Linked DNA regions of Drosophila melanogaster. Changing the gene in region 4 together with the main gene of any one other region gives a genetic interaction. Each region holds a gene or a part of one and is shown on either strand. Other genes may lie near its edges. The genes, in order: Fpps, neur, qm and Neurl4.

The links.
Region 1: of Neurl4 (region 4) and Fpps, changing one suppresses a phenotype caused by changing the other (phenotypic suppression), as found in Drosophila melanogaster (one study listed by BioGRID).
Region 2: of Neurl4 (region 4) and neur, changing one enhances a phenotype caused by changing the other (phenotypic enhancement), as found in Drosophila melanogaster (one study listed by BioGRID).
Region 3: of Neurl4 (region 4) and qm, changing one suppresses a phenotype caused by changing the other (phenotypic suppression), as found in Drosophila melanogaster (one study listed by BioGRID).

What each region holds. Positions count from the first base shown.
Region 1 is NT_033778.4:11,305,008-11,309,326, reverse strand, and holds Fpps (farnesyl pyrophosphate synthase), read left to right. Parts: upstream 1-1,798; 5' UTR 1,799-1,884; coding exon 1,885-2,066; intron 2,067-2,367; coding exon 2,368-2,462; intron 2,463-2,535; coding exon 2,536-2,747; intron 2,748-2,806; coding exon 2,807-3,168; intron 3,169-3,228; coding exon 3,229-3,455; intron 3,456-3,515; coding exon 3,516-3,697; 3' UTR 3,698-3,816; downstream 3,817-4,319. Other genes in the region: CG7745 (uncharacterized protein), read right to left, coding at 1-1,171, 1,230-1,380; CG7741 (uncharacterized protein), read right to left, coding at 3,835-3,976, 4,032-4,189, 4,248-4,319.
Region 2 is NT_033777.3:9,030,707-9,035,283, reverse strand, and holds the start of neur (neuralized), read left to right. Parts: upstream 1-1,552; 5' UTR 1,553-1,834; coding exon 1,835-2,105; intron 2,106-4,577. UniProt on the Drosophila melanogaster protein: Involved in neurogenesis. Interacts with other neurogenic proteins in the specification of the neuroblast versus epidermoblast cell fate.
Region 3 is NT_037436.4:7,346,438-7,354,139, forward strand, and holds qm (quemao), read left to right. Parts: upstream 1-1,875; 5' UTR 1,876-2,172; coding exon 2,173-2,238; intron 2,239-2,425; coding exon 2,426-2,580; intron 2,581-3,966; exon of another isoform or gene 3,967-4,365; intron 4,366-4,831; coding exon 4,832-4,976; intron 4,977-5,029; coding exon 5,030-5,290; intron 5,291-5,357; coding exon 5,358-5,460; intron 5,461-5,533; coding exon 5,534-5,661; intron 5,662-5,797; coding exon 5,798-5,956; 3' UTR 5,957-6,296; exon of another isoform or gene 6,297-6,905; 3' UTR 6,906-7,185; downstream 7,186-7,702. Other genes in the region: CG14834 (uncharacterized protein), read right to left, coding at 1-608; Srp19 (signal recognition particle 19), read right to left, coding at 930-1,347, 1,420-1,484; CTCF, read right to left, coding at 7,441-7,542, 7,605-7,702.
Region 4 is NT_037436.4:14,043,886-14,051,532, reverse strand, and holds the start of Neurl4 (neuralized E3 ubiquitin protein ligase 4), read left to right. Parts: upstream 1-1,640; 5' UTR 1,641-1,863; coding exon 1,864-2,034; intron 2,035-2,090; coding exon 2,091-2,450; intron 2,451-2,510; coding exon 2,511-3,445; intron 3,446-3,507; coding exon 3,508-3,684; intron 3,685-3,742; coding exon 3,743-4,827; intron 4,828-4,897; coding exon 4,898-5,722; intron 5,723-5,776; coding exon 5,777-6,077; intron 6,078-6,133; coding exon 6,134-6,244; intron 6,245-6,305; coding exon 6,306-7,647. Other genes in the region: CG6833 (uncharacterized protein), read right to left, coding at 1-197.

The DNA.
Region 1 (4,319 bases), on a different chromosome or scaffold from region 4:
TGGTATAACTGGAAAAGGAAGTCCGTGTTTGACGGAAACATGTTCTGGTGCTGTTGCTGCTGCTGGTTGTTGTGGCTATTATTGCCGCTGGGATTGTTGCTCCCGCTATTGCTGCTACTGTTATTCCCATTTCCATTGCCCCGCTGCATGGGCATCGAATTGCTGTAGTGATTCTCCTGCTGCATCATAGCCTGCGGCTCCATCAGATCATGGCTGTTCTCATCGGATTCGTCGTCCGAGTCATTGCCAAAGTGACTACCATTGCTGGTCATCTGGTTATGGGCATTGCCATTTAGTTGAATACGGGGTTTCTTCATATGGAAATGGCTCGATGACGAAGAGTCTAGACCATCGCCCTTGGGGTTATAGACATGTGACTGTTGCATCTGCAGAGTGGAACTGTTGCCGATGGAAGCGCCCGTGGCGCTGGAAGAGGAATGTACCACCGGAAGCTGCTGTTCAGATGCCGGCGACTGTTGCTGCGCTTGTTGCTGCTGCTGCTGCTGTTGTTGTTGCGTCTGCTGCTGAGGATGATGGGATCCTGCCCCAATTCCTTGCAGCGGCGACGACAGCGGTGATTTCATCGAGGATGATGTTGAGGTCAGACTGCCAGCGCTGTTCTGGGCCCCGTTCATGCCCACGGAGCCATCCTTGTATTGATCCTGATAACCTTGCGAGGAATCAGCCATTACAGCTGCAACGGCCGCCGCCTGTTGCTGCATTTGTGACTGTGATATGTGCTGGAGCTGCTGTGAGGCCACGGCAGCCGCAAAATCCCTGAACACCTGGTCCGCCTCGATCTTCACCTGGCCATTGACGTTTTCCAGCGCAGATGCAGCAACGTTACTCAGAGCACTCATTGCGTGTTGCTGATCCGGCTGGTGGTAAAGATGACTTTGCCCTGAGCTGCCAAACTGAGACACATTCTTCATGGAGCCATTGGACTTATCAACCTGGTATTCGTTGTAGCCGGAGCTGTTGGCGGACTGTGGAGATGTTAGGAAGTTCGGCACATGGCGGTAGGACTTGCGCGGCTGGATGTGCTGGTCCAAGAACTTCATTTTCTCCAGGTATGGACGCGACAGGTGTTCGTAGACAGGTGGATCGCCCTGCTTCCGCTGCGACACGTAGCGTTCGCGTAGGTACTTCCACCGCTTCTTGCACGTGTCCACTGGAAAGGAGGGCAACATTTATATAGAGGATCTGCCGGAGGAGCGCGTCTTCCTCACCATCCGTGCGCAGCTTCATCGCAATCAGCTGCCAGGCCTCGTCCTTCGTCTCGTACTTGCCACCATTGGCGCCGCCGTTGAGGTAGTACTTCTGCCGGTTGTAGATCACTCCGTGCTGCGCTACCTCGTCAATTAGCTGCTCATCCATCATTTTAGTTTAATTCGTGTTTTCAGCTGCCAATTTGCCTTTGGTGTATGTCAGGCCATTTCCAACACTGTTCATGGGACATCGAAACAGTGTGACCGAAAATGTAGCAGCAGAGTGTCAAATATAATTTGAAGATATTGATATCGAAATATATTCGACAATTTGCATCATGTTTAAATTCGTCAGCATTTTGATTTATATATAGTAATGCATTTAATTAATTAACACGCAATAAAATTAATAATTTCAGCAAAAGTAAATCATTTGCTGTTCCTGAATTTACTAAATAAAAATGTTTAAAAATTTAACTTATAAGTTACCTTCACAAAATTCTCGAAAAATAAAAGTCAGCTATAAAATAGTTGCTATAAACGTATTATGGTTATTTGAAATTTTAAGGTGGGTTCTTTTGCGAACCGAGATTCAGTCACACTGGCAATTTGGTACCCGAAGTTGAATTGCCGTTTTGTGAAGCGGATAGTTACCTGCCGATAATCTTAAATAAAAATGTTTAAACTGGCCCGTATGCTCCTGCCGCAGCAGCGGATCCTGGCCAGCCCGCTGCGCCTGCAACGCCTGATCTCTACCAGCGACGAGGTCAACGCAGAGCCCATCATCAAGTCCATGGACACCATTGGCGGCCTCCCCACCGAACTGGTCAACGAACAGAAGCTGAAGAAGACTAGCAGGTAATCAATCTACCGGTTTTCGCACTTGACCTTTGCCTTGCCTGTTTGTTTTGTTTACATTTCGACCGGTATGGGCATGGGCATGGTATGCATGTATCGGAGGCCTGTTTTGGGCGTGATTTTCGAAAAGGAGTTTCGGGGTCTTTTTTTCTTGATTTCAAGTGGGGGAGAAAGTTTGTATCGAGCCGCTTATGCAGTCACGTAGACCATAGATGCGTGCATGTGTGTGTGTATGTATTTGTGCCTGCCTGGTGGTGTCAGTTATGGGCTCTATTGTTCTTGACTTTTGTTTTGTCCACAGAACCTTATCGACGCTCCAAAATCACTCGGTTCCCATTGCCGCTCGCGTCACGGTGTCGAAAGATGAGAGTCGCGACTTTATGGCCGTGTTCCCAGGTGAGATTTGTTTATTTATGCCCAGTAACAATTATCATGCAAATACTAATGCTAATTATATTTCGATGTGCAGATCTTGTGCGTGACATCACCACCGTGACGAAGGCATACAATTGCAGCGACGCAGCCAAATGGTTCGCCCAAGTCCTCCAGTACAATGTGCCCAGGGGCAAGAAGAACCGCGGCATCCTCACCGTGCTCACGTATAAGAATCTAGTGCCCACCCAGGATCTTACGCCGGAGAACATAAAGCTCGCCCAGTATCTGGGCTGGTGTGTGGAAATGGTAGGAGTTTTATGCATTAAATAGTTTTCCTAATACAAAGTTATCGATCATCTTTTCAGCTCCAAAGTTTTTTCATCATCTCAGACGATGTGATGGACAACAGCACCACCAGACGCGGCCAACCCTGCTGGCACAAGGTGGAGAACGTGGGCCTGACTGCCATTAACGATGCTCTTATGATTGAAAACGCCATGTATGCCATTCTCAAGAAGCACTTCAGCCACTTGGACTGCTATGTCGCCCTAATGGAGCTCTTCCACGAAATCACATACATCACTACCTGCGGACAATCGTTGGACCAACTGAACTCGAACCGCTGTGTCTCGGAATTCACAATGGAAAACTACAAAGCAATTGTCGAAAATAAGACTGCCTATTACTCCTTCTACCTTCCATTCGCACTTGCTTTGCACTTGGCTGGGTAAGTAATGGCCATACATATATAAGATTCCGCTTATTAATCTTCCGCTCTATTGTTTAGCTATAAAGACGCAGAGGCCTTCCGTCAATCGAAGACCATTCTCCTAGAAATGGGCAACTTTTTCCAGGTTCAAGATGATTTCCTCGACTGCTTCGGTAATCCGGAAGTGACTGGTAAAATTGGAACCGACATTCAGGACAACAAGTGCTCGTGGCTGGCAGTGGTGGCAATGCAGCGAGCCAATGTCGAGCAAAAGCAAATCATGGTCGATTGCTATGGCAAAGAAGGTAAAACTAGCTTAGCAAACCCGCACAATTAGACATTGACTTTTGAATATTAACCTGCAGAACCAGCTAAAGTGGAGCGAGTGAAAGAACTGTACAAGGAACTTGGACTGCCATCCACCTATGCCATTTTCGAGGAGGAATCCTACAACATGATTAAAACGCACATACAACAAACCTCACGCGGGGTGCCTCACCAGACCTTCCTGCAAATACTCAACAAAATCTACCAACGTGACTCCTAAATTACTCAAGCGCAACGACTTTACGGATACGTTTTTAATTAAATTGTAGTTTTAGCATTTACATGGATGAACTGTTAGCAAGGGCTCAGCAATTACAACCGATATGAACTTTTTACTATACATACAATGTTCTTTGCTTAATCGTCTGTAAAATCAAAGGGCGCAAAAGCCTTTCGGAAATCTTCCACATACGCCACTTCTTCGTCCTTATCGAGAAGGCAATCCTTCCAGTTCACTTTTTCATCGCAGTTAAGAAGATTCTCCGAACAGAACACGTCCCTGAAAAAATGAGTTTAGTCAAGAGTTGGTAGCTTAAATCGAGAAGTTAACGCACCTTGCGAAATGAATGGGAAAGTGTTTCATTTGCCGCGTTATAAGTGTGCTATCGTCGGGTAACTCGGCCAGGAAATAAGGTCCCATTTCAGGCAGCATTTTCTCAGAATCCAATGCGGGAAGTGTCTCAAATTCCAGATTAAATTCCTCCGCCTTATCCTGCAATGTTGTGGGATATACATCATATGTTATAAAAGGTTGAATGTCGTGAGCATACCTCAAAACTATGTTTTATCTTCCAGGCATAGCCTTCTTCAAAGGCAAGCGCGTTGATTTGTAGGTGAACCGA
Region 2 (4,577 bases), on a different chromosome or scaffold from region 4:
CATCACCTTCTCCGACCTTTTTTGCATTTTTGCAAACTGAGCGAACAGGAGGGGGAAATCGGGTAAGCAGCAGCAGATGTATTTCCAGGACGCACGCCTGCTGCCAGGATGCTGAATATGCATTTCCACTTTAATATCAAAATTTAAATGCTTTCTGCCCCGTCTTGATCCCTTCCGATCTTGAAAATTGCATCTGCTGTGAGGTCTGCCCGGTTCCGTCTGTCGATGCAGGACAAAAAGGACGAGGATGAGGATAAGGAGCGCTCGGCGCAATTATCATCCTCCATCAATGGCAGCGTGGCATCCATAAAGGATAAAGGATGATCAGACGCCAGACGGCAGTTATCCTGCTGACCACAATGCTAAAGCTTAGCAAATGAGACCACAATAGCATGTGTCCCAGATCATAGGTACATTTTTTTAAATTCTGTGTAAGCTAATGGTTTCAAAACTGGGAATTGAGTTACAAACTTTCCATTTCATTTTATAATCTTTATAGTGCAAACTTAAAAAATCAAAACAAAAACAAATCTCGTTTCATATTCTCTATTAAAATAAATTGCACATACAAAATGGACAATTAAATGTGCCGAAAACAATTGGGAAAAGAAGAAATTTATTATTATTATCAAGAAACGTTTGGGAATTTTTTTTAATTCCCATGGAATTACTCCATACATACTCCAACTGAGTACATACATACACACATATGTATGTACGTGTGATATTTGGCCCACAAAGTTCACGATCAAAAGCATTAGGGCAATTGAAATAGTTTTCTAGTTATATGAGCCAGACCTTGTAAACCCTGCGAAAAAGAAAAAGAATTGCTTTGAACCTGGCTGAACTACACACACACTAAGGTGAGGAGAATAACTGTTAGTGAAGATCAGAGCACTATGGCCAAAATCCCAAATGCAGGCCTAGAGCAACAACAACAAGAAGCAGGAAGAGCAACAGCAGGAGAAGATGTGGAGGAATCCCTGATCAAGGTGCAGAGTTAGAGGCATAAAGGTAAATTATAAGGGAGGCTCTATACACGCGAATAGCAGGCACAAAGCGAAACCATAGTAAATAAGAAACAGCTGCCAGAGAGAGAAAGAGAGCGATGGCGTCTCATAATTTTCTCTCTTGAGCTCTCTTTTTCGCTCCATCCACGCTCAGGGCTGACAGCCCTTAGCCAGAAAATGGATAAATTTTAAATTATTTGAATAGATTGCTTACAAATTATAAGTTTAAATAAATTGAAGCATTTTTAATGTAATTTAGTTACCGTTTCTTGATTTTAATTAAATTGTAAAACAGGAAATGTTATTCAAATCTACAGCCCAAATTGTCACTAAACGTTAATAGTAATTATAAAAAACTTAAATTTCCAAATATGTCTTACTGGCATACCTAAACTTCTAAATATCTTGAAAACATATACTAAAAAAAGCCAAATCTGACGGGAGAATTTCTGCGCGCCAGTACTATCCGTTACTCTCCAGCTGAGCTGCGTCAGCGACGTCGCGCTGGTGCGAAGCTATAAAAGGCTGCACCACCGTTTATTTGTTGAAAAAAAACTCAGCGAAAGGTTGTCTCGAAGTTGTCGTCGTCGGTCTTTGTGTTTCGTATCGTTTCGTTTCGTTTGTTCCCGTTGCGCGCAGACAAACAACCAACCAAATTCAAAATGTTTTAACGGAAAACATTCAAATTCGAAGAAGAACTCTATCGCTTAATTTAATGCCAAATAAAATACGCAAGCAGCTTGTGCATTTTCATTAGCATTACGCGTGTTCGTTTAGTTCGTCTGTTTTAATTTAAATAACGAAATAAGAAATAATCCACTACCATGGGTCTATCGGATATACCAGCCAACTATATGCAGGGCAGCCATCCGCACCTAACTCTCCATCCGCAGCAGCAGCACCACCAGAATCAGCAGCACTTGCAGCATCTGCAACAGATGCAGCAGCTGCACAACGCCATGCCCACTCCCGCCCAGCAGGCCGCCCAGGTCCTGGCCATGGAGTCCAACGAGCTGCTCATGAGCACCAAGGACAAGCTCTCTAGCAAGAAGAAAATGCACTTGCTCAAGAAGATCAAGAAGCGCTTTGGATTGGGTTAGTAGTCGCATTAGTACCAGGCTAAGAATCGGGCTAAGGATATCGATGGATATATTAACAAGAATATTCAGTTAATTTCCAAGTCGTTTTTCAAAGGACGTACAATTCTCGGAATATCCAGGAATAATTTTTAAAATCAGTGTGATTGGGTTCTAAAGTAGATGTAGTACATTTTAACAATATAAAACTTCCTTCGTGATATCTGACCATTAAAGTCTTGAAGCAAATGTAATTACCGCGTGCGAAAATGCCTTAAATACATTATTCATCGATCTGGGAATCGTATTTTTATCTCCAGCGATATTCCCACATAATATTAGCATGTGGTCTGACCTATCGCTCTTTCATTCATTCGGTTAATTAAAGCGGCAAGATAAATAAGCGAGAAACACAGCCAGCCGCAATCATTTATGCATACATTAGCATTTTACGTCTCAAGAACAATAACAAATAACGAAAGATAAGAGCAAAAACCGAAAAAGTTTGAGTTAGTTTAAAACAAAAAGCTAATGAATAAATGCTCACCCAGAACACGCCCAGTTTGCGATTATAATAGTAATTGTTTTTTTCCGACTAGATAGACACAAAAGAAGCGCGAAAAAATCTTAAATGTGAAATTCTCTCAAGGCTTTTTCGGCAGAATTTAACATCGACACTCCGACTTTTTCGCCGGAAATGTCAGTTCTCGAAAACTGAATTTTTCAATCGCACCCAAGTAACCGCAAATTGATCGAGAAGACCAGATCGGAGGGATCTTGAGTTGAAGAAAATACCACCAAAAGCAATTTTCCCAAGGAGCGATTATGTTTATCATAACGATTATCTGGGCTGGGGAATTTGTTGCGCTGTTTTTGTTTTGGTTGCAAGCAGCTGAGCTAAGGAAAGACAAAAAAAAAGAAGTAAAAACAACAAATCACCTTTTTTTTTTGACTTTGGCTCAATTGCATTCTCGGCTTCAATGCTCTCTTTTTTGGCCAAAGCAGGCGAAGCAAAAGCAAAGCAAAGCCAGTGACGCATAGGCTAAGCTTCTACCCCTTTTTTTTTTATTTTTACTGGCCTCCTACGAACAATTGTGGTCGCACAACTAGCAGTCGAATATCAACGAACGACGCAATATGAATAATAAAAAAAAGTTATTAATTTAGTCCTTCAGCACTGGAATAGTTTTATTTGTCAAAAGTGGCTATGCAAAATATTGTACTGTATTTAAGAGATTCCATTTTTCCCGCCACCACTGTTTTTGCATCTGCCTCATTCAGTATTGCTTGTTGTTGTTGCTGTTGCCTTTCGGGGAATTGTACGCGAAGCGCCGTTGCCGCCATCGGCAAAAGCAAAAACAAAGGTAGCAACAACAGAAAAGCAAACGATCCACGGCAGGAGAAGAAGAGAAGAGCCATGGACTAGCGGGATGAGAAGAGGAAGAGGCGTGGCTTTGAAGCTTGAGTGTGTTTGGAGTTTTTATTTTTCTGCTGAGCGCTTAAGCCCGCAATGGTTTATGTTTTATGCGGCGGCTCCAGTCCGTTTGTTTTGAACGTGCGTTGCCTATCGGTAATCAATGAAATTGCTTTGTTGTTGTTTTGCTCGGCGTCAGCTGCTTTTGCTTTTTTGTACCTGCATTTTCTATTACATTTCGTACCTTGTTTGTTGTTGTTATTATTATTGTGTGTTGGCATGCCACGTTTGCTTTGGCTAAAAAGTTTATCTGCTCTTGGCTTTTACTTAGCTTCTCACGGTTTACTTTTCGAAATGGTTTGCTTGGCCGTGCGTGTGCTTGCAACTGAGCACTGCCAACTCGTCTTTGAGACCCCGATTATGGGACACACAAATACAAATTGTCGCCCGACCTTCGATTGTTGGCCAAAAGTAAATAGTCAATTGTTAATGACGGTACGCACCCCCCAAGGAAGTTTGTACATATAAGTACATATCTAAGTACAATGTTGGTCACCATAAATATACATACATTAACTTCTGAGACCTAAAATGTTATTCTATTAAGTTCAAAATATGTAAGTCGCCGCTTAAAAACAAATTTCTGTAAACATAATGTTTAAGAGACATTTTGCTAATATTGCTTCAATATTAACATATTATTGTTGATTTCCCAGTAAGCCATTTTCTGTTGAGCACAGTTGTATGCTGAGCATTTTCGCTACATACATCTGTTGCTATATTTTTCCACTTTCATGCATCCCCTTCGTTATTTTTTCACTTATTTTTCTCCCCCTCATGAGGTCATCATCTCGATGTGTCATTCTGAAGTTTGCGTATAGTTATTGTAGTATAGTATAGTTCATATAGCTGATATGAAGCACTGCTTAATTTCGCGCTTTGATAACGGACACTGCGAAATGTTATCTCTACAAGTGTAAACGTTTTGCAACTGATTAACTATAAATACCAGTTGTTAACTATTGGGGATATACACAAAGATGCTTGTGCTAACTTTGCTAGCTTTTTTCTAAAGAG
Region 3 (7,702 bases), 6.7 Mb from region 4:
GGACGCACCAAGGAACTGGCAAAGTCATTGAACCACTCCAGGTGATCGACGGACCTCTTGTGCCTTATCTGCTCCGAAGCCTTGGATGGCGTTTCTAAGCCATTGGCCGTACGTTGAATGACCAACTTTGTGGAGGGCTTGTAGATGGTTATGTTTGAGCGACGATTTCGAGGCGACTGCATTGAAGTGCTGGCGCTCCTGGCCACCAGATCTCGCTTCTGCTCGAACTGCTGTGCGTTGCGCACAAAGCGATTGCTGCTCGGTCCCTGGATGACGATTTCGAATGGTAGATTCAACGTCTTGGCATTCATCTGCATGGTGCGAATGCACTCAGTATCGGATTGGTCGTCATTACACTCGCACAGGCACTCCTCGCCGCAGTAGAAGCCCAAACAGCCGCAATGCTCACACAGCGCCTTGCAATTCTTCTCGAGCTTCGACTCCGTCAGGGGATTCACATTGCGACTAGCTTTCGTGGATGTGGCCAATGTCGATGGCGGTTTGGTTGTCGTGCTGGACACTACACTTGCTTGGAACTGAATAGCAGCCAGTAGAAGTATCACCGTATAGCCACTGAGGCTGCTCTTCCGTATCTTTTCCGTCATCATTGTGGGTGCTCCAGTTCAAACTGTCTGGCCAATTGCGATGCGCAACCGATTTTATAACGCTGACCAGGTGAAATCGTAGATGTTCGTGACTGACAGTTGATTCTAGCTTACAGTTCGCCGGAATTTATGCTGACTTCGTGTGATCTTGAGACATTTCCCAATTGGGTTCTCTAATTGAGTTCTTTGTGCCGGTTTTTTTTGGCACACTTCGGCGTGCCAAGGCCGAATTCCCGCACTTGAACTTGGCCCAGAACACACATAAATCTTTGTTTACAGCGTTTATTACAAAAGAAACCAAACAACGAGTTGCCACTGAAGTCATTAGCGGCGCTTGCCCTTTCCCTTCTTGCCGCCACCACCACCCCCAGATCCGGATGCATTCGACTGTGGCTGCGACTGCTGGTGGTACGAGTCGCCGGATTTGTTCTGTCGCGTCTTCAGCTGCGGTATCTTGCTGGCGATATGCAGCATGATGGACTCGCGCGTGGGAAAGTCATTATTGTACAAAGTGCCATCGACATTACGCAGCTGGACGCGCACACGACCACGGAACTCCATCTCGCTGCTGTTCTCGCGACAGTACTTCTTGTTCTCCATGAGGAACTGCAAGTTGGAAACGGACAGCACATCGCGAATCTCAATATAGCTGGGATTGTCTACACAGTTCTCCTTGGGCAGCCGTCGACCCTCCTGGCGTGTCTTTTTCCTATTGATGTAGGCGGGATATATGCAAATCCATCTGTGTTAACAACAATAAGAGTTACATGCGAAATCGAACTTTGTGTTTTGTTGGCCAGTGCCTGGTTCCTACCGCTCCATATCGTTGTGTTTCATGCTGGGGCTCCAGTTTTTTTTCATGGGAACTGCTGTCGCCATTCTTTCAGTGAATTCTTGGTTGGTTTATTGCAATTCCTGTGTAATTAACAAAAAATGAGCTAGAAAGCTATTTTCCACGCAAGCAACCCAATTGAAATAGGGATGGCACGTGCAGCTGGCCGAGTAATCGATATTTAGCGAGGAAGCCAATAATTATATGGCTTTTTCTGGCTACTACGTAAGAGGTTATTTATAAGCGACTTAAATTAAAAGAGTACATGAAATAAATTATTTTAGGTAATTTTAATTTTTGGCTTATCTGGTTTAATAGAAGTTGGCGGAAAATAGCCAACATCTATTAAGCCACATTTCCCATCTCTTGTCATATCGATGATACCTCTACAAAAAGCCCTCCTAACCCTATCGATAGAAACATCGACTTGCGATCATCTCCAATATGCAGGCCGCGGAAGAACTTCAATAACAGTCTGTTTTTGGTCTTTCCGTGGTGTAATTGATTTGAGTTGTGCGGATAACGCGAAAAACCAATCGACGAGCGTCGGCCAGCAATTCTAGTCACGCGTGTCGCGAAGCCAAGCGGTAAACAAAAAGCACGCCCCACACCGCAGTGACCCCCCTCCATCAACACCAACACCACCACCCCCCGCGCTCTATCAAAACAACAAAAGCACACACGCAAGGCCACGGCGGAGCAGCAACAAGAAAAACAACAACAACGGCGACAACAATGGAAGAACTGAACATCATATTACAGAAGACCAAAGATAAATCAACGCAAAAGGAGCAGGATGAGGTACTTATCCCACGGCTTAATCCTTCCGGACCCCGTGAACTTTGACATTCGAAAGTGGCAAGCGAACGAGAGACACAACAGCAAACTAACCAGCTATTTTGGCCTTCCTTCCGTTCTCCTTCTTTTTCGACCCACTTCATTTTGGGCTTTATTTACATGTGGCCCACGCACGCAAAACGCTATCCAGATTCTGCTGCAGCCCTTTACATACATACAACAGATTCCTGGCAAGCAATTCCGCTCTGAGTTGGCCTTGGCCTTCAATCACTGGTTGCTCATACCGGGCGAAAAGTTGGCGCAGATCGGAGACATTGTGCAGATGCTGCACAATTCCAGTTTGCTGTGAGTATATATCAATTATCTGATTAATAGCCCTATATCAGATTAATAGCACGCCAATAAATCAGCATGAAACTACAGACAATGCAGTGTTTTTGGCCCAAAAGTGTATATACTGCGTATATACTCTATTAAAAAGTTTAGCAAAGTTAACTTAAGCGATAAATATTATCATAACAAAGTACTGACTAACTGGCATATCAATATTAAAACAAAATATTTTACTAAAATATCACAATACATACTTTTGTACTCACTAAAAATATGTCTGTAAGAAACCATATAAAATCAGCGCTAGTTTAAATACCTGTCGATTTATTGCCAGCCAACTAATCATGCTAGTCGTGCTTTACTTTTTAGTTTTGACCTTTGCCTTCCTTCGTTTTTCTGCTCCCCATTATTTGGCTTTGTTTACGCTTTGTTTGTGCCCCCCCCCCCCCTTCAAACACAAAACACCCGAACGTTTGACCCCCACCCCGTTTTGGCCACTTCTCCTGCATGTTTTATCTCAATTCACACTTGCAGAGTCTGTATTTGTATACATTTGGCTTATTTGCTTTCGTTCAGATGGATTCCAGTTAAATGCCTAATCGAGTGTAAAGTTCTTTTGGGCAAGTGATGAAAACAGTAGAGACTCCACGCTCCAAAAATGTGAAAATGCTGCCATATGCTCGTTGAAGAAACTCTTATCATCATCAGCTCAGTTCGTTTCCACAACGCGCATATGTTATATAGAACTTTGCTTTATCATTTCGTTGACTCACTCGCACTCTTTTCCCAATTGGATTTGACCATATACACAGTCTCGCACATTTGTGGATTATTTGGCCAGAGCGTTGTACGCTGGCCTCAAATCAATTTTCAAATTTCATCATGAGCCCGCAGGTTTCTCTGTTTACAATTGAATTTCTTTGCAATCCAATGTGGATTCGGAAATTGCATAAATTATTTAGATTTTTCCCCCAGGGCGGCCTACGGAGGAAAAGCGATGAATAAGATGATGTTGGCTTGCCAACAAAACAGTCGCAATTAAACTTTGAACTCAGCCAATTGAAGTGTCTGCGCCGCTTTTCAATTGAAGGCAGTAAAGTGAGTCGAAGTGACCAGGGATTTTCGCCTATCTTCAGGCAGCAGCTATGGAAGTATTCATCTCGCTTTCAAGCTAATCCCGTCCTGCCTCCGGCCACCTGTCGCCATTAACCATTCGGAGGCAAACACTCAGGAATGGCCTTAATTCTGCTTAAAATCCCCAGCATTGTTCCTCGAGACAGCAGGCAGTCTCATTCCTCCGCCAAGTGGCCTGCATGTTCTTGGTGTTCCCTACTTTTTTTTTTTTTTTTACGTTTTTAGTAATGCATTTTCATATTGGCAAAAAACTTAGTTTTTACAACGACGCCAGCAGTTGCAGCCATAGTGCCTCCTCGTACGACCCTCGTCCGTCCGTTCGTCATTCATGCACTTATGCCCATTGTCAGTTAGTCAGGCCGTCGCCAGTCGACAGGCATTGTCACAACTCTTGCCACGCAGCCCATTTTCCTCATTTTCCCCAACACCAACCAGCCTCCTTTGCACCCAATCCCCATCCCATACCATACCATTCCTCATCCCATCCTTTCCATATCCCGGCCCCTTTGTGCGTTGTCGCTTCAACGCCCACGCCTTCGTGCCAAGCCATCCAATCCCGTCCCGTCCCCATACCATCCATATTCCCTACCAATGACTTTGCCAGCTTTGGCGGAGCGCAAACATTTTTTAATTACGCAAATGTTGGGCTGCCCAGCTCGTTTTACCCGCCGGGCATCGTAGTTATTGAAGCGATGGCGGCCTTTAAGCGAGGCTTAAATTTACACATCCATTATTTTGGTGGAATGAGGAGCGCCAACGTATGTTTATAAATATGAATGTGGATGGTGGACACATGGAATCCGCGGCTCCCTTCGCTCGAATTGTGAAATTCTATTTAAAAACCCATACTTTTCTATGCAGTACGTGTTCATATAGTGCAATTCTGAATTAATTGCTATACAAAAACATCTGCTGATAAGTAAACTATTGAATCTTAAAACCAAGAACATATTTTCACATTTATTCTAATTTCAAAACATTACTGGCTCGAATTCTTTCTTTGCTAAGTTGATTGTAAGGTAGTAAAATTGTAGTATCTAATGCTTGAAAGTATATTAAGCTTGAATACAAGTACACAATTAACTCACGGCAAATTATATACATGTATGTTCTTGATACTAACTTACAGCATTGATGATATTGAAGACAATTCGATCCTTCGCAGAGGTGTGCCCGTGGCGCATTCCATCTACGGCGTGGCCAGCACCATAAATGCGGCCAACTATGCACTCTTTCTGGCGCTGGAGAAGGTGCAGCAGCTGGATCATCCGGAGGTACGCAAATCCACCTCTACTATGAAGCTCAAAGTAATCCGCGTTTCTTGCAGGCTACCAAGGTGTACACCGAACAATTGCTGGAGCTGCACCGTGGACAGGGCATGGAGATCTATTGGCGCGACAGCTTCACGTGTCCATCCGAGTCGGATTACAAGCTGATGACTGTGCGCAAAACTGGCGGCCTCTTTATGCTGGCCATTCGCCTTATGCAGCTGTTCAGCTCCAACAAGGAGGACTATTCGAAGTTGACGGCTATATTGGGCCTGTACTTTCAGATACGCGACGACTATTGCAATCTGAGTCTGAAAGAGGTGAGTGTATAGATTGGTTGGCAATATGCATAAGTCATTGTTAATCTGTGATAACATTCCGATGTAGTACACGGAGAACAAGAGCTTCGCCGAGGACTTGACGGAGGGCAAGTTCGGCTTCCCGGTAATCCATGCGGTTCGCACCCAAAAGCAGGATAAACAGGTTCTACGTAAGTCCAACGTCTTGACCTCAACCAAAGGCTTTTCACTCATTAAGCTGATGGCTTATGGTTATATCCACAGACATATTACGCCAGCGCACGCACGACATTGAGGTCAAGAAGTACTGCATCACCTTGTTGGAAAAGCTGGGCAGCTTTCAGTATACACGCAAGGTTCTGGAGTCGCTCGACGCAGAGGCTCGGTCGGAGGTTAGTACTTGAAGACAAGCAATGGGAAGTGGAAGTTGCTTGGAAGTCTTGATGATGTTAAAAGTAGAAATTCGCACACATCCCATCGTTGCTACGTGTTTTGTGCTAAACTAAAGTAATCTCTCAACCCACACAGGTGGCTCGTTTGGGTAGCAATCCGTACATGGACCGCCTGCTCAACAAGCTGCTGTCGTGGAAGACGAGCGATAGCGCCAGCATCACGCAGTCGAACCAGATCAATCACAACAACGTCTCACGCAGCAGCCCCAACCAGAACACGCTCAATTGCAATTAGCAGCCAAAGAGGCAAAAGAGGGAGCAGTCGTGAATTGCGAACGGCAGAGCCTCTTTTGCCGCCAATCCGGGACAGCAGCAGGCCAGCAGCCAGCCGACGCCTGCGTGCCTCAGTGCGCCCCTGTTGCGTTTCCTGCAGAAGCTGAAGATATTCTGAGATTTATGTTACCCTTTGCCAAACCGAAAAGCCCACAGAGAACCCCTACCTTACTGTCAACCGAAACCAGAGCGATGAGAACGGAAATAGGAGGAGGATAGGATTTGGATTTGATAGTGAATCGGATGAAATGGGATGGATAACAAAACCAACAGCAGCCTTACAGAAAATTGTTAAGCCAAAAGTAAATTGATATAAGCCAAGCTTATCGTTGAGCTAGCAAAGAGCCATATTACAGCTTTCCAAGAATTTGTTTTTTTACTTTTACATTTTACTTTATACTTTTAATTTAGTTTTGCTTCAAAGTTACGTAGTTAGTTAGCTCGTTTAGTTTCCCCAGTTTTAGTTTCGCCCAACGAATGGGAGAGGGGGGGGGGGGTGGGGATCAAGCAAATCTCGCAGAGCATTACTGAATTATAGAATATGCAATTTTTTAGCTCTTGTATTTCTAAGTGTGTTTCGTATTCGTAACTCAATTCTGCAAGCAATTTTCAATTTCTAAGTGTCATTTTATCAAATCTAACTCACTCGGAACTCAATGTGCACTTCCTTTATCGACGTTGTTCCATTTTAATTGTTATACAAATGCGATTCGTATACATACATACATATGTACTATTAACGACAAATTGTTAATGTTTTATGCAGACACTATAAAATCAACACAAATGAACGCAACTATATATATTGAAATAATGATAATGATGCACTGCACGGCAGGTTTTTGCACATTGCACCACCTAAAAAATATATACATATATTATATATAAAAATATATATATTTTTATTGTAGTTATACACATGAAAGAAACAAAAAGAAATAAACGGCAAGAGAAACCGGAAAAATAACAAGAAAATTAACCAGATTGCTGAAGTGGAAATGGAAAACTATAAACTATGCGAACATTTTACGGTAGAAACGACAACTAATAGCCGAGAATTTACAGTGCACGCCCAGATGCAGCTAAACGCAAACGCACCTAACATTTTGCCCATATACTATATACTACTAATGAAAACATTGAAATATATGTAAATGTATTTAAATAAATATTTATGCCAAGTTGTCAACTAAAGTTTAAGTGTCGGGGATCATTTACAAATAGTCGCCATATCGGCATGTTAACTGCTTATCCAGAATTATACATTCATTTAGAAAGAATACATTTTTAATATCCATTTCTTAACCTAGTAAAAATAGGTTTCCTAACTGTTTTAAATGTGTATTTAAATAGAAAACAATGTAACGTAGAAATACGTTATTGTATGCTTGGTATGTACATAAGTTAGTCATAATTACTTATCCATTAGCTTTTGTTTTCAGGAGACTAAGAGTCCTGCTCAATCATATCCATCAGCTGCAGAAACTCCTGGGAAGCGCCATCGACCTCGTTTTCCCCATCGCCATACTCCTCATAATCATCGTCGTCCTGCATGAAAACCAAATTTTTGAGTAATGGAACAAATGCCAGCTAAAGTTTTTGCAACTAACCTCGAAACCAAAGCAGTTTTTGGCACTGATCTTGGAGTTGGCGCTCGGTTCGTGCTTGACCAACACCTCCTCGTCGCCATTAACCAGCTCTACGACCA
Region 4 (7,647 bases):
CGACTTGTGTTCACCTGTTGCACCTGTAGGCGCTCCATGGAGGCTTGCAGCTTGCGTTGATTGTGTTGCGGGGAAACCACATTTTTCGTGCTGTCCGTGGTGTTTTTGTTGTTGGCAGACCCGCTTCTGCTGCTGTCCAAGTTATTGGCCCGGCTACGATTCATGTCGAACTGCTTCTGGCGTGGCGTAGCGGACATGGCGTCGGGGCATCTATATATTCCAAATAAATATCCAGCTTAAGACAATCTCGAATAACAAATGTGTTTCTTTATTTTAGTAACACCGACCAGTGTGACCGTCTTGGGGTTGCTGGAGTATTACTGTCGACGGGCTTTTGGTATTTAAACAGTGTCAATGGGTGCGTTCAGCAGGTAAATAGCAATCACGCCTTATGTAGCCTGTGAACGCATTCACTGCGTCAATAATATGTGCATTGATCGCTCGAACAAATAAGACCGTAAAAATCGCTATTCATTTACAGTTTCAGACGTTGAAGTAGTGTAAGTTCATTAAAATATTGAAGAAATGTGGGAGTATTGACTAATATTCTAAAATCACTTATGGCGGTTTTATATTTTAACAAATCGTAAAAATATCAAACTAACGGATTTTATACATATGCATGTGCACACTCGAGATTGGGCTTGAAGTTTTGGATATCCACTGCGAAGTGCGCACTTGATAAAGATGTTCGTATGCAAGGAGTTTTAAACTGGCTCCCGCGTATTTCGTTCGGAGTGCATCCTGGAGCACATAGATGTCAAGTAAGCGCAGCTTACTTAATTCGCATTAAGGCATATGGTCGTCGAGGAAGTAAAACTTTACTTGAAAAGCGGGGCGTGGCCCCTATCTGCATTCGGCCCCTTCGGCGGCCTGGGCAACTTTCCCAATCACATCGAGGATTATTCATTTGAGGAATGCCGTTTGCAGCATTACATGGCTCAACAGGAGGATCGCCTCACTATTTATGAGTTGCAGTATGCTCGCGAAATTGACTTGGCCACCATGAAAATTATTTGATTAAGATGTCGCCCCAAAAACTACTGGAAACATTGATTGAAATTTACGATCAGCCTCTAATCGACAGTTCCTCTGTCGCATCCGTCAGGGACCAGACTTCGGACGAGAGAAAATGCCAAGTTCAGCCTCAAAGCTTCCCAGGTTTTCAAACCAACTTTTCAAACCAACTGCCAGTTAAACATCTCCGGTGACACGGCGAGGCCGTCCAACAGAGCATGCTTAAGATGCTGGAAGGCAGCGTGGTTAGCCTAACCGACCGGGAACAACTGTTTTAAAACTAATATAATTTTGTTTAAAGTTTTTTGTTTTTAATTTCTTTGCAGTACAAGTGATCTGTTTTTAGAAAAAGATTATCCAAAAAGTTAGCTTTAATTTGAAACTCAAATTGAATATGAAATTTTGGATGCTTGGAGATTTTGGAGACTTGAAAATAAATGTATTTTCTTATTAGGCGAATTAAGAGCAAACCTTGTTAATTACATATAGCTCGAACTTTGTTTTCAGTGTAATAACTGATAAGCCATTCAACTAAACAGTCGATATGTTCGTTGAATGTATAGATTTTTGTTACATCTATGAACGGTCATACGAAAAGGATATTCATTTGTTTATTTTAGTTTGGCACATCTTTGAAAATAATGCATAATGCTTTGTGAAGATCTAGGAAACTGCAGACTACTCCATCGGAATTTTTCCATCAGCGCCCGAGAACCCAGCACTTACATCGCCAACAGCCGATGAGCCGCAATCCGCCCGTGTTCCCATTCCGACTGTCGATTGATTTGTACGGCGACAAGCGGCGGCGGAGAAAAGGACCGATAAAGCAGAACTGGAGGAGCAACCATGACCGGCAGAGAAGCGCAATCCTTCCACACACGCTGTGGCCGCTCCATCCGGCTGTACAATAACAACCGGATGGCCCAGCGCTCAATGCGGGATTTCAGTCATGCCCTGGTGTTCAGTGCTGAGCCCCTGGAGGACGATGTACTTTTCGAGGTCGTCATCGAGAAGAAGGTGAGTTAGCCACACGACTGCAGCAGATAGAGCTGCGGATAATGATCGTCTTGCAGAATACCTACTGGGGCGGAAGCATTGAGATTGGTGTCACCGCGGAGTCGCCGGATGACCTGGAACTGGTGGCATGCGCCACTGCCATGCGAAATGGCACATGGGTCATGTCCGGCATCGACGTGCGCAAGGATGGACGACGCCTATTCGAGTTCTATGGCACCGATCTGGAGACGCTCAACGAGAATGATCGCGTTGGCGTCATGCGCACCTCTGGTAACGATTTGGTCTTCTATGTGAACGGAGAGTCGCAAGGCGTGGCTGCAAAGAACATGCCCAAGCCTCTGTGGGCTCTTGTCGATCTCTACGGACGTTGTGTGCAGGTTTCCTTGTGTCCGCGCGATGGAAGTGGTTCCGGAGAGGTAACAATTCAGCTAATCCAAATGAATAGGTAAACAAAAACTCGTTTTCTTTGTACACAGCTTTTGGATTCTCCGCTGCAGCAACCACTGCAACAGGTTGTTCAAAACTTGGACGTGGCCATGAACGTAAACATTGTCGTTGACTCCGACGCCTGGATGCAAGGCAATGGCTCCGTATCCGGTGCTGATGACCGACTGTGCTTCCACACCCGCTGTGGGTCGTTGGTGAAGCTTTCGCCCAACTTTCGATCCGCCGAACGCCGTCGACCCCTGGACGAGTTCAATAACGGCGTGGTGATGACCCACAGGCCTCTGAGGGACAACGAACTGTTTGAGATTCGCATCGACAAGTTAGTGGACAAATGGTCGGGATCCATTGAAGTGGGCGTCACCACGCACAATCCCGCAGTGCTGCACTTTCCGGCAACCATGACCAACATGCGCTCAGGCACAATTATGATGTCCGGCTGCGGCATTTTAACCAATGGTAAGGGGACACGCCGTCAGTACGGCGAGTTCAACTTGGATGAGCTTCGCGAGGGAGATCGCGTTGGGATGATGCGCAAGGCCAACGGCAACCTACACAATTACATTAACGGTCAGGACCAGGGTGTGGCCGCCACCAGAGCACCGTCCACTTTGTGGGGCGTTATCGATCTCTACGGAATGACTATCAAGGTAACAATAGTTGATCGCGATGAACGTGAGCAGCAGAATCTCGTGACACGGCGAAACAACATAGTAGCAGGCATGACTGCATGTTCCAGTGGTGCTGGTGCTCAGCACACCCAGCACCAGCAGCATTCCGGCACCCCAACCCTGAGCCTCCTAAGTCCAGAGAGCGAGATGAATGCCGCTGGCGCTGCCGGCGGCCTAAGTGAGACCATTTCCAGCACGCGAGCCATAGCCAGGAACGATGACCGGCTAACCTTCCACCACATTTGTGGTACTCACGCCACCGTCACCCAGAGCGGGCGGACAGCGCTGCGGCCCAAGTGAGCATTGTTGTTTACGGCAGAAGATTTTTATGAATTTCAATTCCCCAATTTGTATGCAGTGCTGCCGATGATTTTAACAATGGTGTAGTGCTCACAAGGAGACCTCTGCGCCCCAACGAACTCTTCCAAGTGCGACTCGAACGCGTCGTGACCAAATGGGCTGGCTCTGTTGAAATGGGAGTGACCACGCACAGCGCCGACGAACTGGACTTTCCATTCACGATGACTAATGTGCGGTGAGTCCTGGCTTCTAGCCCAACTTTAGTTGTTTTAAACAACCATTTTCCAAACCAGTTCCGGCACTTGGATGATGACGGGAAACGGGGTCATGCAGAATGGAGTCACCGTTATCGAACAGTATGGTCAAAACCTGGATCGCTTGCAGGTGGGCGATAGAGTGGGTGTGGTGCGCAAGGACGACGGCACCTTGCATTTCTGGGTAAATGGAGTGGATCAGGGTCCAGCTGCCAACAATGTTCCCGAGCGCGTTTATGGTGTAATCGATTTGTATGGACAGGCAGCACAAGCAAGCATCGTGGACACTTCGGAGTGCGGTAGTCCGGACACTGGAAACTCTACCATCTCAAACACGACGTTGTACAGTGAAGTTCCGCTGCGATTTCACAGCATCCACGGCGCCAATGCGGGCATATCGAATAGTGGCCTAACAGCGTCGCGTCCCAATTCCCTGGCGGAGTTCAATGACGCAATTGTGTTCAGTAACCGACCGCTAAGGCAGAGGGAATTGTTTGAAGTGGAGCTGGAGACAATGGTTCGTCACTGGTCGGGCAACATTGAGATCGGGGTGACGGGCACTCGGCCCGAGGACATCCAGTTGGCTCCAAACGCCACCGATCTGGAGGCCAGCGACACCATCATCTTATGCGGCCCGATGATTTTTCACAACCGCAAGACTATACGCACGAATATTCTGCTGGATTTGGATACCCTAGGTCCTAGCACGCGTGTTGGTGTGATGCGCAATGGTGACTTCATTCACTTCTTTGTTGATGGAATGGATCAAGGGCCGGCCTGCGAGTGCCACGCACCGAACATTTGGGCCATTATCGATTTGTATGGGCAGTGCGCGCAGGTGAGTCTTACCCAGACGCAGCTGGACATCCGTGCTCCGTACGCGACCAGCGAAAATTCCCAGAGCTGCCAAGCCACATCGGTAATTCAGCATCCGGCCATGGAGACAAAACACCGCTGGACTTGCGTCTCCGGAAATGTAAGCCTAACCAAGGATTGGACGGAGGCCTCGCGCTTTACGGGAGCGGCGGCACCACTATCCCATTGTCTGGTATTTTCGGAACATCCGCTCAGCGTGGGATCACCTTTTGAGATTAAGCTGACATCGGTTAATTCCATGTTTGCTGGTAAGCTCCCCCGTTGTAGATATCTACATACATGTAGAGGATTTTAAAAATTTCTTTTAATGGTCCGTAGGTTGTCTAAGTATCGGGGTCACTGATTTGAATCTAAGCGACGAAAGCGTACGCAAGAAACTCCCAACCAGTATTCGCCGGATTCCCGCAAACGTGTGGTATGTTAGCGGAAACGAGGTGTGCTTTAACTCAAGCTGCCTGCAGCGCTCGCTGGCCTCCCTGGAATGGTTAAGGGTTGACGATAGGATAACTCTGGAACGAGTGGAGAACTCGTTAAACATTCTGTTGAACTCGGAGAACGTGAACATCCACTTTCACAACGTGCCCAACGATGTCTACGTGGTTGCCGAACTGAGAGGTTCGACGATGGGAATTCAAGTGATTTCCGCTCAAGGACCGGCGTCGCCACTACGTCCATGCAGTTTGCGTCTGCAGGACTCAATGGACTTTGGAGTGGATCCACTGAACAAGCAGGATAGCTCCATGCTGGAATCAATCGATTCCGAGGCACTGAACTACGAGTTTTTGGATGTCTCACAAAAGAACGCACGACTCAGCGATGATCGCAGAAGCGTGACCAGAATCAAGTCCTATAACCAGTCCATCGTCTGTCTCAATAAGCCGCTGTGTAAGGGTGAGAGCATCAGCATCAAGGTAGATGCCCTAAACAACAAGTGGAAGGGTACTGTCGGTCTCGGCGTTTTGTCCGCAAGTCCCCAAACTGTTCCCATTTCCCTGTTGGACTTTAAACGGAGCTGCTGGTTGGCCACCCACGACTACGTGAACATCAACGGTCAAGTGATGCCCTCCAAATACGGCGATGCCCTTGAGCAGATCCAAGTGGGAACTGTGATCACCCTGACACTAACCCATGCCGGAATGCTAAGTAAGTTAAATTTAAAAAGTTAAAAGTTATTTTTAATTATCAAAATTTATTCAGTCATTATGATTGGGTCAACGAATCTCGAGGATCTGGCCAGCGGACTGCCCAACCATGTGTATCCCGTGTTCGATGTGTACGGCAAATGCGAGAAGATAACATTGATAACTGGAAATGATGCTGGCCGCACTGGGAATGCCAATGGTACTCCAATTCTCGAGGCTCCGGAGGCCCTGGAATTGGATAATGGTATGCCACAGCAATGTGAAAAGGCGCATCTGGAAATGCACGAGAAGGAAAAGGACACGGAGCAGGTGTGCGAATCGGGCCCGTCCACCTCTGGTGCTCCTTCAAACGCCATGTAAGCGTATCAATAAATAGGTCTACTCCGGTTTTCTGTACGGAATCATTTTGCAGGACTCGATCGGTTATGGAGAGCGTTTCGGAGAACTTGCTGTTGAACATTTCCATTAAGAATCGAACTCTGGAGCAGCAGCGAAATGAACTCGGTGGATCATCGTCGACTTGGTAAGCATGACAATGGAAATGCGGATAAGAATGTAATTCCTAATTTTCTGAATTTCTTTAGTTGCCTTCGCGAGTCTCTGCAGCTGCAGCACAATACTAATTTAAATATACAACGCAGTCAGAGCACACAGAGATTCCAGAACTCTTTGAACACATCTGCAACGGCAGCGGGATCTAGTGGCACCAGCGGCTGCACGGCCAATACGCAACACCTGAGTAACTCGGGTGTATATGACACGAATAAGGAGTATGATGATCTACCCAATCCTCCAAACCCGTTAGTCAATTCCGTCGACGAAGCAAGTGGAGCAATTACGTCTGTATCCACAACGATCGATCACAGTGAAAACAATGCGGAGGCCTTGGAACTGAGTGCTAGCAATGAACGCGAAATGTCCGGCGAGCCCGCGCTCAACGATAATGTATTGGAGGACGATGAGATCGACTACATGAACCACCTGTTGCTGCTGCAGCAACTCCAGCAGAACGAATATACGCGGCATCATCTTATGCCCGATCAGGCGTCACTACTCAATCTCGACCTGCCATCCCTTAATTCCATGGAATCCGACACGAATTCTGTCGGCCAGACGCGGCCGAGTGGAGGAACAGATTCCCTGCGATCCACTGCCACCGGGGCCAGTGTGGAGCAGAACGACTGCGAGTATTTGCGTCAGGTGAGACGCTTCTGTGCATCGCTAGTTCTGCCGCAGGCCTTTTTTGATAGCCGACTTGAGCCGGTGTGCTTCTGCCTGAAGTGCAGTGGACCCAGCATCGGAGGAAATGGTGATAAACTGGAGGGTTGGGTTTATTTCAAACTAAACCAGCAGACGGTTAATGTGCTGAGCACTTCGACGTCGACTGCATCGGCCGGTGGTGGCGCTTCCTCGGCGACCGCTCCCCAAGTGCATTTTGATCTCAACGGAGACTGGCTGCCCTTCTACTACATGACACGGGTGGACAAGATTCGGGCGATACTGGATCGTGGGCAGCCGCTTCCGCTAGAAACGGATCCGGACGAGGAACCGGCCGCTGCAGCGCTCAAGGATGAGCCTGGTACACGTCTGGAGCTGTACTATTCGCCCAATGCCACGGTCATTGAGCCCGTGCTGCCGCAGCATCACTTTGCCTCTGAACAGGGACTCCACCGCATCTCCACTTCCTTCGAGGTCTACGTTCGGCGGCAGTCGATTTCGGGTGTGACCACTGGCAAGGCTGCGGCCGAGGCGAAAAGGCGCAGCCTGGGATCCACCGACCACGATCATGGTGGAACTGGTCAAGGTGCCGACGGCGTGGGAGTCACTCCGTCCGCTACTCTCAACGAGTCGTCTGTTCATCTGCTAAACGATCTCTGCTGGTTTACTAAGGAGGCTGGCGCCTGCATAATCAACGCTTTAATTATT